2 linked regions of the Caenorhabditis elegans genome follow. The protein of the gene in region 2 interacts with the protein of the main gene of each other region in a pairwise test. Each region holds a gene or a part of one and is shown on either strand. Other genes may lie near its edges. The genes, in order: tat-1 and num-1.

Region 1 (5,033 bases), on a different chromosome or scaffold from region 2:
CAAATTAGGCAAACCGGCAATTTGCCGAATTTGCCCGAAACACGGTGATTGCCGAAAATTTTACGGTAAAATTGATATCCGGTAAACAGCAAACAGACAAATTGCCGAAATCGAAAATTACAGGAAAATCGGTTATTTGCCGGAATTGAAAATTTCTGGCAAATCGGTAATTTGCAGGAATTGAAAATTTTCGGCAAATCGGCAATTTGCCGAAATTCAAAATTTCCGGCAAATCGGTAATTTGCCGGAATTGAAAATTTCCGGAAATTTTGGCAAACCGGTGATTTTTGATAATTTTTAAAAATTCCGAGTTATCTTCAAGCTCAAAATCTTTTTGATTTTTTGTAATGAATTTTTTTTTGAAATTTTTTTGCCAATTTTCAATTTCCAATTTATTTTCAATGTATTTTTCTTCTTCTTCTCAATCTCACATCTTTCCACTGTTTCTCAATCCAATGTCCATCGACAAGAATTTCGACAGAAAATGCGTTAACTTTATTATCACTTCGCCGTCTTTTCACATCTTCGAATATTTCTTTTAGTGCAGAAACTGATAAAATTATCAGAAATGGGACGGCTGTCGTGTATCTTCCAGTCGGGCTAACGTCGGGAATTTGCTGAAAAAAAGGAAAAATTTAAATAAATTAAAGGCGGACTACACTCTGTGTGGGGAAATTGCTTTAAAACACGCCTATGGTACCACAATGACCGAATATCATGATTAAAAAATTTAAAAAAAATTTCTAAATTTTATATGATTTTTTTGAAAATTGAAAAAATCTCAGTTTTTGCCTAATTCCTATTTGAATTACCGCCAATTGGATTTGTTCGGTGGAGCGCGCTTGCCCGTTATTAAATTCATTTATTTTATTTTTTGTTATTTTCCATCGATTTTTAATGTTTTCGGTGTATTTTTGCTTGAAATTTAGAGAAAAAGTCAAAATAAATGCAAATTTTCGATTAAAAAGTACGCTGACAGGCGTAAATCAGTGAAATTAATGAATTCAGGTTCGAAATCGTTTAAAATCGTTACTTTGTCATTTTTACGCCTGCCAGCCTGCTTTTTAATCGAAAATTTGCATTTATTTTGACTTTTTCTCTAAAATTCAAGCAAAAATGCAACGAAAACATTAAAAATCGATGGAAAATAACAAAAAATGAAATAAATAAATTTAAAAACGTGCAAGTGCGCTCCATCGAACAAATCCAATTGGCGGTAATTCAAATATGAATTAGGTGAAAACTGAGATTTTTTCAATTTTCAAAAAATCATATAATATCTAGAAAATTTTTTTGAATTTTTTTATCATGATATTCGGTCATTGTGGTACCATAGGCATGATTTAAAGCAATTTCCCAACTGGCGATACTCCACCTTAAAAAAAAAGAAAAAAATTTCGCACTACAAAAAAACGAAAAAAAATCGCAAAATTTGGCTGAATTCCCTCCAAAATGAGTGCTGCGACCAATCAGCGACTTGCTCTGCCCACATTTCAACCAATCAGCGTCATTCGACTCCTGATTGGTCCAAAAGTGGGCGGAGCCAGTTGCTGATTGGTCGCAGTCCTCAATTTGCAGAGAAATTAGCAAAAATCTCGATTTTTTTCGGTTTTCTCTCGTAAAAGCGAGCAAAATCTCCATTTAAAACCAAAAATTAACCTGAAGAAGGGCGATTGCTAGGAAAAATATATTATTGTAACGCCGGAACTGTTCATACAAAAATCTGGGAAGAAATGAGAATCCATTGTACTTGCAAGTGCTGAAAAAATCAATTTTTTACAGAAAATGACTGAAATTCCAGTAAAAAACCTTATTCTATTACTGCAAAATCGTTGAGCATGCTGGTGGTGGGGATCTCTGACTTTGCCTGAAAAAAAATTATTTAAAAAAAAACCAAATTTTCGGTTATTTCGTCAAAAAAATGCTGAAATTTCACAAAAAAAAGCGAAAATCCAGCTTTTAAACCGGCGTGAGAACTGCGACCAATCAGCGACTCGCTCCGCCCACTTTTCAACCAATCAGATGAAGTGGGCGGAGTTCGAGGACGCTGATTGGTCGGGGAGTTCTCAAAGATGAGCTTTTCGTTTTTTTTGCGCATTTTTTAATGATTTATCAGAACTTCAGATATTCTTGGGCTTTTTTAAGCCTATTTTTGGCCCTTTTTAAGCCTATTTTCGGGCCTTTTTAAGCCTATTTTTGGGCCTTACCAAGATGGATATGTCGATTATTATCTCTTGCCTCTGTGGGCATTATGCTCCAAAAAGTGTTTGACCTCGACTTCTTTGCTATCGATTTTTTGTTGAATTATCTGGAAAAAATTAGTTTTTTTTTTGAAAAAGAGCATTTTATTTGAATTTTTAAGCAATTTTTCGTGGGTAATTCAGTTTTTTTAGGGAAAAAGTAGAAAAAATCCAGGAAAATCAATAAATTCAGCCAGAAAAGGCGAAAATATCGAAAATTTCAGTTAATTTCGTGGGAATTCAAAAATTATTAAAACTATTTATTAAAAACTATATTAATTTATTAAAAGTTATTAAAATAAATAAATTAAATAAATTAATAACTTTTAATAAATTAATAAAATTTGTAATAAATAGTTTAAATAATTTTTGAATTCCCGCGAAAATGAATGTTTCGATATTTTCGTCTTTTCTGGCTGAATTTATTGATTTTTCTGGGGTTTTTCTACTTTTTCCGTTGAAAAAAACCGAATAAACCGCGAGAAAATCGATGAAACTCCAAAATTGGGCTTATTTATGATTTTTTTTCGGCGAAAAAATGTCTGAAAATTTGATTTTTCCTGAATTTTACGATTTGAAACACAAACTTTCAATTTCTGAGGCATTTTCCATCGATTTTCGAAGTTTCAGCGAATGTTCTTTTTTCTTCGCGGAAACTCAAGAAAAAAGTTGTTTTTTCGCAAAATTGGAAAAAAAATCCTTTAAATCTCTAATTTTTATGGTTTTTTTTTCTAAAATTCAACGAAAAATGGTGTGATTTGTGTGATTTACAAATAAACTTTGAAACTAAATAAATATTAAAAAAATATAAAAACCCACGAAAAATCAAACAAATTATCGATTTTCGGTCATAGAATGACGAGGAGCCTGCAGGAAAATCCAATTTTTTTGTTGGAAATTAATTAATTAATATAATATTTATTTAAATAAACAAAAAAAAAAGGTGAAAAAAAACGTAGCAAACACGGAAATAAGTTCACCCCCAAAAAGCAAATAATGTTCGTGTCAACTTCCTTGGGGAGGCGAGAGAGCAAGAAGGTGTGAGACGCAGAGAAAAACACTGGTTTTCCGTTAAAAAAGAGTACATGGCCTTGAAAAAGTGATTCATATATGTTGTATTTTAATTTATTTTTCCATATTGTTCAATTTTTTGAACAAGAATAAAATAAACATGGAAGAAGAAGAACCTCGGCACGTCACGGAAGCATGGAAATAGTGTGTGAACAGAAGAGAGTGCAGGGAGAAAGCATGGAGCCTCTTTTTTGTTTAGAATTTTTTTTGTTTGAAAATATCGATTTTTATTTTGGTTGGGCTTATGTGCCCAGGCTTGGGCTTGGCTTAGACCTAGCTTAAGCTAATAATTCTTAGGCTATTTTAAGGTTCTGAATAGGTGTAACTGTGGAAAACGAGCTGAAATTCGGGCTTTTTCAACTTTAAATGTAACGACCGAAGATAACTGAAAAATTTCTAAAAATGTGTTTCTAAATATATTTGAATTTTTCACAATTTTGCAAACTAATTAGGTCCCGACAAATTTTTGGATAAATCGGTTTTCCGGCAAATTTAACTGAAAATTTAAAAAAATTTAAATTTTTTTTCTCTTGTATGAATACGTCATAAATATTTACTAATTAAATATTGATGTATCCCTGATAAGAAGAGAAGAAGAGAAAAGACACACTGGAAATGAAAACATTTTCGACGAACTTTGATCATTTGCCAAATTTTCTGTCTTTTTTTTTTAGAACAATTCGATATTTAAAGGCTTATTCATACAATGGCTTATTATGAAGTCGCAGAAAAAACGGGACTTTTTTCTACGTTTCCATAATAAATCATCGTATGAATACAGCTTCAGACCCGCTTTTACGTATAAACCCAAAGTGTGCTGAAGTTAAAAAAATTCGTAATGAAATTTCTCAAAAAACTCTTCAAAAATTTTTTATGAAGGTTAAAAATTTCGAAAAAATTACGCTGATTTTAGCTAAAATCTCTAATTTTTCCCATTTTTCCGTGTCGAATCTGGCCGAAGGTTGACTTTATCTGGAATTATCATCCTTTATTGCAAATTTTGGTAGTTTATCTCATTTAATTTCGTCGATTTAGGTACATTCAGGTAACTAAAAATCAATTGGTTACCTACCGTCTTTAAATACCTTAATCAACGAAATTAAATGAGATAAACTACCAAAATATGCAATAAAGGATGATAATTTCAAAAAAGTCAACTGCGGACAGATGTCTGGCGGAAAAGTGGCCAAAATTCGAGATATATATGCTAAAATCAGTGTAATTTTTTTCGAAATTTTGAAGCGGAATAAAAATTTGAACCATTTTTTGAGCAGTTTCATTACGAATATCGTTCATTTCAGCATATTTTGGGTGTATTCGCAGAACTTTCCGAATTCTTTAAACTTTTCAGACAAATCAAGCTCTAGGCAATAGCCCTGGGGGAAAGGCCTACATAATAGTGGAAATAAACCCAAATTCACGTGGTGTCAGGGGCAGTCCCATAACGGTATGATCTACAAAAAATGCGGGAATTTTTCGAAAACTCTGTATCTCAATTTCCGCATTTATTTTAGATCATGCCGTTATGGGACAGTCTGACACCACCACTGCAACTTTTTCCTCACGAGGGACGAGGAAAAGTGGTTTCTAGGCCATGGCCGAGGGGCCGACAAGTTTCAGCGGCCATTTATCTTGCTTTGTTTTCCGCCTGTTTTCTTTTGTTTTTCACAGCTTTTTCCCGTTTTTTCTTATTAAAACTGATGAATAAATACTTTTTGCAGA
Region 2 (7,869 bases):
AACACCAGCATCCCGGAACTCCTGCCACATTATGAGTCGACGAAGGGTTTCCGAGTCTTCCTTATGAATCGGATCTTCGGAAGTTTCCGTCATTAATCGACGTAATTCAGTTTTGGCAGTGACATCACTGCTCGATTGAGATTGAATATTAGGCGTATTCCATGAATAACCATCGAAAAATCCAGAGTTCAACATTTCAGAATTTCGAGAACTCGAAGCAACATCCAAACTAGGATAGTATTCACATCTACCATCAATATAGCTTGCTCGTTCACACGCTTGTGAATATGACCTCAATCTAGCTTGAGAATGGGCTAACTTCAGTGCTCGAACTTTTGACGCGACACCACACCGCGCACGATGACCAACGTTATGGACCACCGCGCGCACGTATTCAGTGTCTATGAGAACCATTTGATGAGGTCTGTTCGAGTGTGAAAATAGGAGAAATGTTGATAAGGAACTTTTTTGTTATAGGGAAATGGTAAAAGATGGGGGTTTACTAGTCATATCACTTGATGGATTATGCAAATTTCCAAATGACGTTGAAAAGGATCGCCGTTTTGAGTGTCAGAAATATGGAAATCTTTGAAAAAAAAATACAGTTTTTGTTTTTTTCAGTTTAGAACTTAACAAACTTTATCAAAAAAAATCAGCGAAAAATCGCAAATTTTCAGATTTATTTTTTGAAAACATTAAAAAACAGTTTTTCCAACGTTTTTCTCAATAAAATGTATTTGTTTAGTGCGGAAAATCGCAGAAAATAGATGTTTCCAACTGAATTTCCGTCGATTTCGCGATTTTTCCTCAAAAAACATAAATTTATCAAAAAATTTGAGCATTTTTGGAAGAAAACTTATTTTTTACTCAAAAATCGTAAAACTTGGCAAGACCCATTTACCGAGTTTTTAAACAATTTTCCCATATTTGTGATTTTTTCCTAGGAAATCTTGATTTTTTCCCATAAAACATTGCGGAAAGTTTGGAATTAAAATAAAAAAATAAGAACGCGCAAATAACATGCAAAATCAAACCTTTTTCTCAGGAGATCTCTCCGTTGGATTATTCGACACGGTCCTTAACGACATATTTCGCTTGAATTGATCAGAAGACGATGGCATATCGGGTGGTGCTCGAAGGGATCCCTGAAACTTTGAATTTTCAAGTGGTGTCAAGTTGTCACATGTGAAATTTGGAGATCAGCCAAAAATAGCAATTTTTAGGTGAAATTTTCAATTTTTTGATCAAAAACCAGCGAATTTTCTTTTTTTTTTAAATGATTTTCGTCAATTTCGAGATGAAAAGATTTGAATTTCAATTGAAAACTCGTATTTCAGCCAAGTTTTGGGGATTTCGTCATGATTTTGCGTAAAAAAACACATAATTTTAGGTTGAAAACCATTTTAATGAAGCAAGGTGTCAGGTTGTACGATGAGAAACTCAAGCTGGGAAGACTAGATTTTCAGTCAAAAATAGCTGTTTTTAGGTGAAATTGTCAATTTTTAGCTTAGAATCCAATAAAAAAAAGAAAACTCGCTGGATTTTGATCTAAAAATAGCTATTTTTGGCTGAAAATCTAGTCTTCGCAGCTCGAATCTCACATGGGACAACCTGACACCACAAAAAACGAACCTGTCTCAAAAACAGAGCCGGATTTCCAGTTGGTCTCGGCTTCGATATCCTTCTAATCTCATCCATATGATTTGATGCCGGTACCTCGTTAATAATTACTGATTGTGGATCCAAATATCGATCTTCAATTGAAACGTGCTTCCGGAACGACTGATAAGCCAGGTTTGAACGGGAATTCGAAGGGTTTTGAGTTGAAGTTCCTTCTGATGTATTATCCTCCCAATTTGGGTGGAATATATCCTTTGGTGGAGTGGATGAAGTTGATTCTTGCGCTGATTGCACATTTACTTGAGCTGTTTCTTCGTCTCGTCTTTTCTTTTTTTCCAAACATATTGAAAATGCACAACCGACAGCATGCGAGAGACGTTCGCCCTGAAAATATTGCATTTTTATAGAAAATTCGGCAATTTAGGTCGAAAATTGATAAATTCACTGCTTTCATTGCCTCCATTTTCCCAAATTTGTCGGAAAACCTGGAAATTTTGCATAATTTTCTGCATTTTTCTTGCTATTTTTTAAAAGATTTCTTAGCAATAAGAGTAGTGGGATTTGTCAATTTTTTACCTAAATTCCCGAATTTTCTGCCAATAAAACATATAAATAGTTTTTTCTGAATAAAATTACCGTTTCCTTGGTGGCTAAAAATCCATGGCACATCCACCGCCTGGATGCTCCATCTCTGCAGATGTACGCGAATCCTTTGTCAGTTTGTCTGTCGGGTGCACAAAATGAAACTTTCTCAATAGTCTGATCTACCAACAGTCCTCGACTGTTTCCCTGATCGACAACACGTAATCCGTCTCCTGACACGTACAGAACTGCCTTTACAGGCTTTCTCCGTGAAGCTTTCAGCGATTTCAGTGCGCCTTCACAAACTTGCATTCCACGAGACTCGTACACTTCCACTGATCCTAGATATTTTACATTGAAACAGCACGTACCCGTTCGTACGGCACCTTCGTCTGGCTGCCACTGTTCAGTCTTCGAACCGCCCGTTACCTGGAAAATTGAGCATTTTTTGGGGAAAACTTGAGGTTTTTGGAGAACATTTAAAAAATTCTCGATTTTTTTGCGGAAATTTGGTCGAAATTATATGAATTTCAGACTGTTACTTGGTTGGAAAAATGGTGATGAAATCCGATAAAAGATAAAAACTGATTTCCAAGTAAACTTCGGAAAAATCGATTTTTCACAGGTTTTCACGTACATCTGGACTCAAATGCCTGTCATGACTCCTATCTCTTCGCTTTTTTGGCAGTCTGAGCGATCTCCGTAGCCGGTCCATCCCTTTTGAGAATATTGAGCTAAAATTCACATAATGTACTTAAAAATATAGAAATCGACATGAAGAATAACCAAATCGGCAAATTTTAAGTTCTAGAATGCATTAAAATCAATTTTTCGCATTGTTTTCGAAAATTTTGCTAGAAAAAGCAGATTACCATCGAAAATCAATAACAAAATTGATGAAAAATTGGGCAAATTAGCGAGGAAATTGGTGAAAGAATTGAGCCTCACGAGTGGGGAGAGATGAGAGAACGGGGTAACGGAATCTGTGGAATTTTTTTATTTTTATTGGGGTGTCACATTGAATTTTTGTAAATAATGTTTTGCTTCTTTTGTTATATATATTAATAAATATTTTATTATAATATTTCAATAAGAAAAACTATGAGAAAATTCAGTTTTTTAGCTGATATTTTCCGTTTCGTTTCCCTGAAAGCAGCTCAATTTGTGTGGCCTGGCTAGTTTAATAGAGCGCACTTGCAGTTTTCGGAGAGCTCAACAGATAATTTGAAGATTTTAAATAAATAAAAAAGACTTGGCAACTGTTTGTAACATTTTTCCTTTAAAAATTAGTACCTTTTATCGTTCGGAATTGGCATTGGAACAATTGCGGCGTCAAAACTTGGTTGCTGTTCAGAGACTAAAGAATTCTGAATACTCTTTGTCTTTTTCTTCCTTCTCGATATTCTCGACAGTCCTCTCGTGAATACGTTTCCCTGTGAAGCGCTCATCTGAAACAAAAATCAAAAATTAGTCAAAAATATCGGGAGAAATCGGTCAAAAAATGGCAAAATAAATGGAAAATGAAGAGCACTTTTAAATGATAGTATGAGAATTTCGCGTTTGGGACCCGCTACGATGCAATTCAAATTTATGTTGGCAAAAAATGCATGATTCATAGCCAATGACTGTAAAACAGAAATTTCAGTCAAAATAGGACAAAAACTGAAACCACCCGTCGCTCTTATCAATTCCATCACATTGCACCGAGCCTTATTGCACAAAAGAAACACGACAAACGACGAGAGACTGTACAAAAGACAAGAGAGTGCAGAGATGTAGAGGGAAAGTTCCGTGCCTTCTCACTGTCCTGTACACAGTCTCCAATACACATAGAAACGGAGACAAATGACCTCTTTTTGCCGGCGTGATTCTCGATGATATTTGACAGAATTGCATAAAAATCGAGGACTTTTAGAACACTTCTATTTTTCGTGAAGAATCATTTTTCAGATGCTAAATTGTCTTAATTTGCGCTTCGAAAACACGGTACCCGGTCTCGAAACGATAAATTTTAGTTAAATGCCAGAAGGATGCGCGTCTTTAAGAAATACTGTACTTGGGCTACAATAGGGAATTTAAAAAACTACGATGCTTTTAAAGGAGGACTAACGATTCGGACGATTTTGAACGTATAGACCCAAAATGAGCTCAAATGAACAATTCATTATTTCATAATAAAGCTTCTGAAAAATGTTTCAAAAATTTTTTACGGCGGTTCGAAATTTCAAAAAAATAACACTGTTTTTAGTTAAATTCTCGAACTTTGGCCATTTTTCTGAGTCGCAGCGGCCCGATGATGACTTTTGAATTATCGTCCTTTATTAAATATTTTCGTTTATCTCACTTAATTTCGTCGATTAAGGTGCATATGAAGCCAATAGGTAATCAAAAATCATCGAAATAGGTTGCCTATCGGCTTTAAATATTCTTTAATCGACGAAATGAAATGAGTAAACTACAAAAATATTCAATAAAGGATGATAATTCTCAATTCGAGATTTTAGCTATTTAAAAGCAGTGTATTTTTTTCGAAATTTTGAATCATTTTTGAAACACTTTTGAGAAGTTTCATTACAGTGTTTTTTTTTCCAACTTCTACGACTTTAAAGGCGCGCGCATTTATACAAAATGGCCCCGTCATTGGTCTCGCCACGCGCTCAACAATTCAATGGAATGCGCGTGGCGAGAACATTGCGCGAAAATGCGCGCGCCTTTAAAGTCGTAGAAGTTGGAAAAAAATGCACTGTAAAACATTTGCTCATTTGAGCTCATTTTGGGTCTACTTTCAAAATCGTTAGTCCTCCTCTAAAAAAGTTTTTACCTGATTTTTTAAAATTTTTTACTGAAATATAAAAAAAGAGATTCCTATAATTTTTCATAAATGTTCTAGGAGTTTTTAGCGTTTGTTTTTCAACGTATTCTGTTAAAATCCTATTCTTAGAAAAGTTGTTCCGCCGAATTCCGACATGAAAAAGTTTTCGAAAAATTTGTCAAAAAAATGTTTTGAATTAAAAAAACAATTCTAACAAATTTTTGTTTACAGTATACTTTTTGTTTAAAGCATACATTATAATATGAAAATTAGTCTACTAAAACGAAATGGTTGGAAAGCAAATTTTATTTCGTGCAGTGAAAAATGAATTTTTCAACATTTTGTGTATGATTAAAAATTAAAACCTAACATCTCATACCTGGCATACCTGTCACGCAGGCATCAAAATGTCAAGTCACTGTTCAACTAATCGTGTGCAACATCATGCTTCTCACCATTGATAAAATTCTATATTTTCAGAAACTTTTGTTATATTTCTTAAAACCCTATATCTCGAATCCGAACTTTAGTATGACCACTTACTGTATCACACAACATCAATCTCGGTGCAGTATATCTAGACTCTTGATCCCAATTTCTTGGTCTATGCCTCATAAACGGAACAATCATATTGTCGAATTCTGAAAAAAAAACTTGTTAACGAATGTGCGAAATTAATTTTTTACAATCAGTGCCAAAAAATATTCAGAGTATCGCGACAAAAATAGCTGATTTGTGCAGAAACTGAATGTTCCGCCTCCTTTTCACCCGATTTCCGACTGTTATCGCCGTTGATAAAGGAGGTCATACTATAGACAACCCCTTTTTCTTACGTGTGATAGAGGGAGAAATACGGAAATTTTGTAGGGAAATAAGTCGTTGCAGACGTCAATGATCATTTTGAATTAGCAACATGTACGGATGGAACTTTAACTTTGCTCACGAGTATTTGAGATAGCAGGTTTGAAATTAGCACATTGCTTAGCGTGTAAACTATTAAAGATACCAGGAAAATACTATTTTTCCAAAACTCACCGCATTTATCGTAAACCCATATTGTAGAGGTGGCACTTCTTGAACTGCGATCCAGACCATCATACTTTAAACCAAGAATAGTTTGTTTGTGAAATCTAAACTCTATTGGCGGACGACACTTGTAAAACATAGTGTTCGATGAACCTTGCTGATGAACTATCCAATTCATAATAAAGTATAGTCAAGAAGGACTCTCGAGTCAAAATGTAAACATAAAATAAGTTTTGAGATTAGTAGAACCCAGCTTGTTCCCACGGTAGTACGTATCCATAACACTTCCACAAAGATCAATGTGAGTAGTCAATACAATTGTGATGTTACAAAAAACTTTACTTTAATTATTTTCTTAAATTTGATGAAAATTGATATTTTCACTTGCGTTTTTTTTTAATTTTCAATCTTACAATCAAGGTGGTTAATTTTTTTTCTTTGTAAAGAATTAACGGAAGACCTTGTAAACTTAATGATAAGATAACTGAGATTACAAAGGAAAGTTCAAAAAGTTAATAGTTTGAACAGATGAACTTATTACATGTTCAAAAAGTCAACATTTGCGTAACCAACATGGGTGAATTTACTTGCGAATTACTACAAGTTATTTCACAACAACAACATGGAACATGGAACATGGTTAAAAACAGGCTGTGACATTTTACAATGTTTATCCGATGAAAAACAATGTTTCATTTTAAAATAAATTAATTGTTTGTACAATAATCGTTGTCCTCAAAATCTTTGAAACCCCATAATATATCCTGTTTTTTATACTTCCAAGTATTAATCATAGAAACGAATAGAAGAGCTTTAGACCTCCTTTCAGTTTTTTCTTCTTCATCTTCCTCCATCTTGTCCAAAAAAATGACGTGCGAGAACACACTCACATGAAAACTCACAAAACACTCACACAACGCCTTCAGCTCATCGATTTTCCTCGAAGCCGTCAGCCATGAGCGAGGAGAAGAGCACATGAGCTCCTCTCTCTTCAGCGTCTTTACTCTGCTGTTCTGCGAGCCTCAAAATCCTTTCGGTCTATAACCGTCTGTCTGCTACTCTGGCAGTCGGCTCTCTTTTCGTCTGCCAGGAGAGCCAAAGCGACGCATTCACATTTCAGCACCAAACACGGTTGCCCGAATGATCGGTGCCGTTTCTTTGGTTTTCTTTACTGTCGGAGTTGCAGCTATCTATGGATTAGATTTGGAAAACGTAAGTAAACTCATATTTTGTTTTGTAGGCTTAGTGTTTTTCTAATTCCTGAGCAAGTGAAATAGATTTTGAAATTTTCAAATATTACTTTTTTAACGATTAAGGTATCTGTATTAATTTTCATATATGAACTCCAAAGCCTCAAACTGTGAAAGTTGAGTTTCAAGGATTGCAAATTTATTTCCGCCATAATCAAAATTTTTAGTGATGACTCACACTAAGATTATTATCTAGTGTTCCTAGTCCATTTTTTTTCGGATTAAGGATACTCAAGGAAAATTGAAGAAAAGGTATACATTTAGTCAGCTTATTCAAAATTCAAAATTTCAGGCTGGAGACTTTGTTCTTCCATCCGGAGATTTCATTGATCTCATCTCACGTGACTCTGAAAATCTTCCGGATCTCTCCTCTTTTGGAGTCAAGCATATCTCTGGTGGAGCTGGCGAGGGAGAACAGAAACTTCTTGAGGAGGACAATTTCCAAGAGAGGCAAGAAGTGAAAGTAGACAACGTTCTTCCCGCATACTGCGAGCCACCAAATCCATGCCCAGTTGGGTTCACAAAGGAACACGGATGCTTGGAGGAGTTTGAAAACAGTGCAGAGTTTTCTAGAAACTA

What was found.
Region 1: the proteins of num-1 (region 2) and tat-1 interact in a two-hybrid assay, tested with the Caenorhabditis elegans proteins (one study listed by BioGRID).

What each region holds. Positions count from the first base shown.
Region 1 is NC_003281.10:12,418,415-12,423,447, forward strand, and holds the start of tat-1 (Phospholipid-transporting ATPase tat-1), read right to left. Parts: upstream 3,157-5,033; 5' UTR 3,060-3,156; intron 2,309-3,059; 5' UTR 2,251-2,308; coding exon 2,208-2,250; intron 1,868-2,207; coding exon 1,810-1,867; intron 1,760-1,809; coding exon 1,660-1,759; intron 618-1,659; coding exon 432-617; intron 1-431. UniProt on the Caenorhabditis elegans protein: Transports phosphatidylserine from the outer to the inner leaflet of the plasma membrane, thereby maintaining the enrichment of this phospholipid in the inner leaflet.
Region 2 is NC_003283.11:20,828,160-20,836,028, reverse strand, and holds the start of num-1 (PID domain-containing protein), read right to left. Parts: upstream 6,219-7,869; coding exon 6,050-6,218; intron 5,656-6,049; coding exon 5,558-5,655; intron 3,651-5,557; coding exon 3,496-3,650; intron 2,943-3,495; exon of another isoform or gene 2,937-2,942; coding exon 2,840-2,936; intron 2,632-2,839; coding exon 2,257-2,631; intron 2,005-2,256; coding exon 1,633-2,004; intron 1,146-1,632; coding exon 1,035-1,145; exon of another isoform or gene 415-1,034; coding exon of another isoform or gene 1-414. Other genes in the region: sbt-1 (Neuroendocrine protein 7B2), read left to right, coding at 7,181-7,252, 7,583-7,869. UniProt on the Caenorhabditis elegans protein: Involved in the tethering and targeting of pkc-3 to modulate the intracellular distribution of the kinase.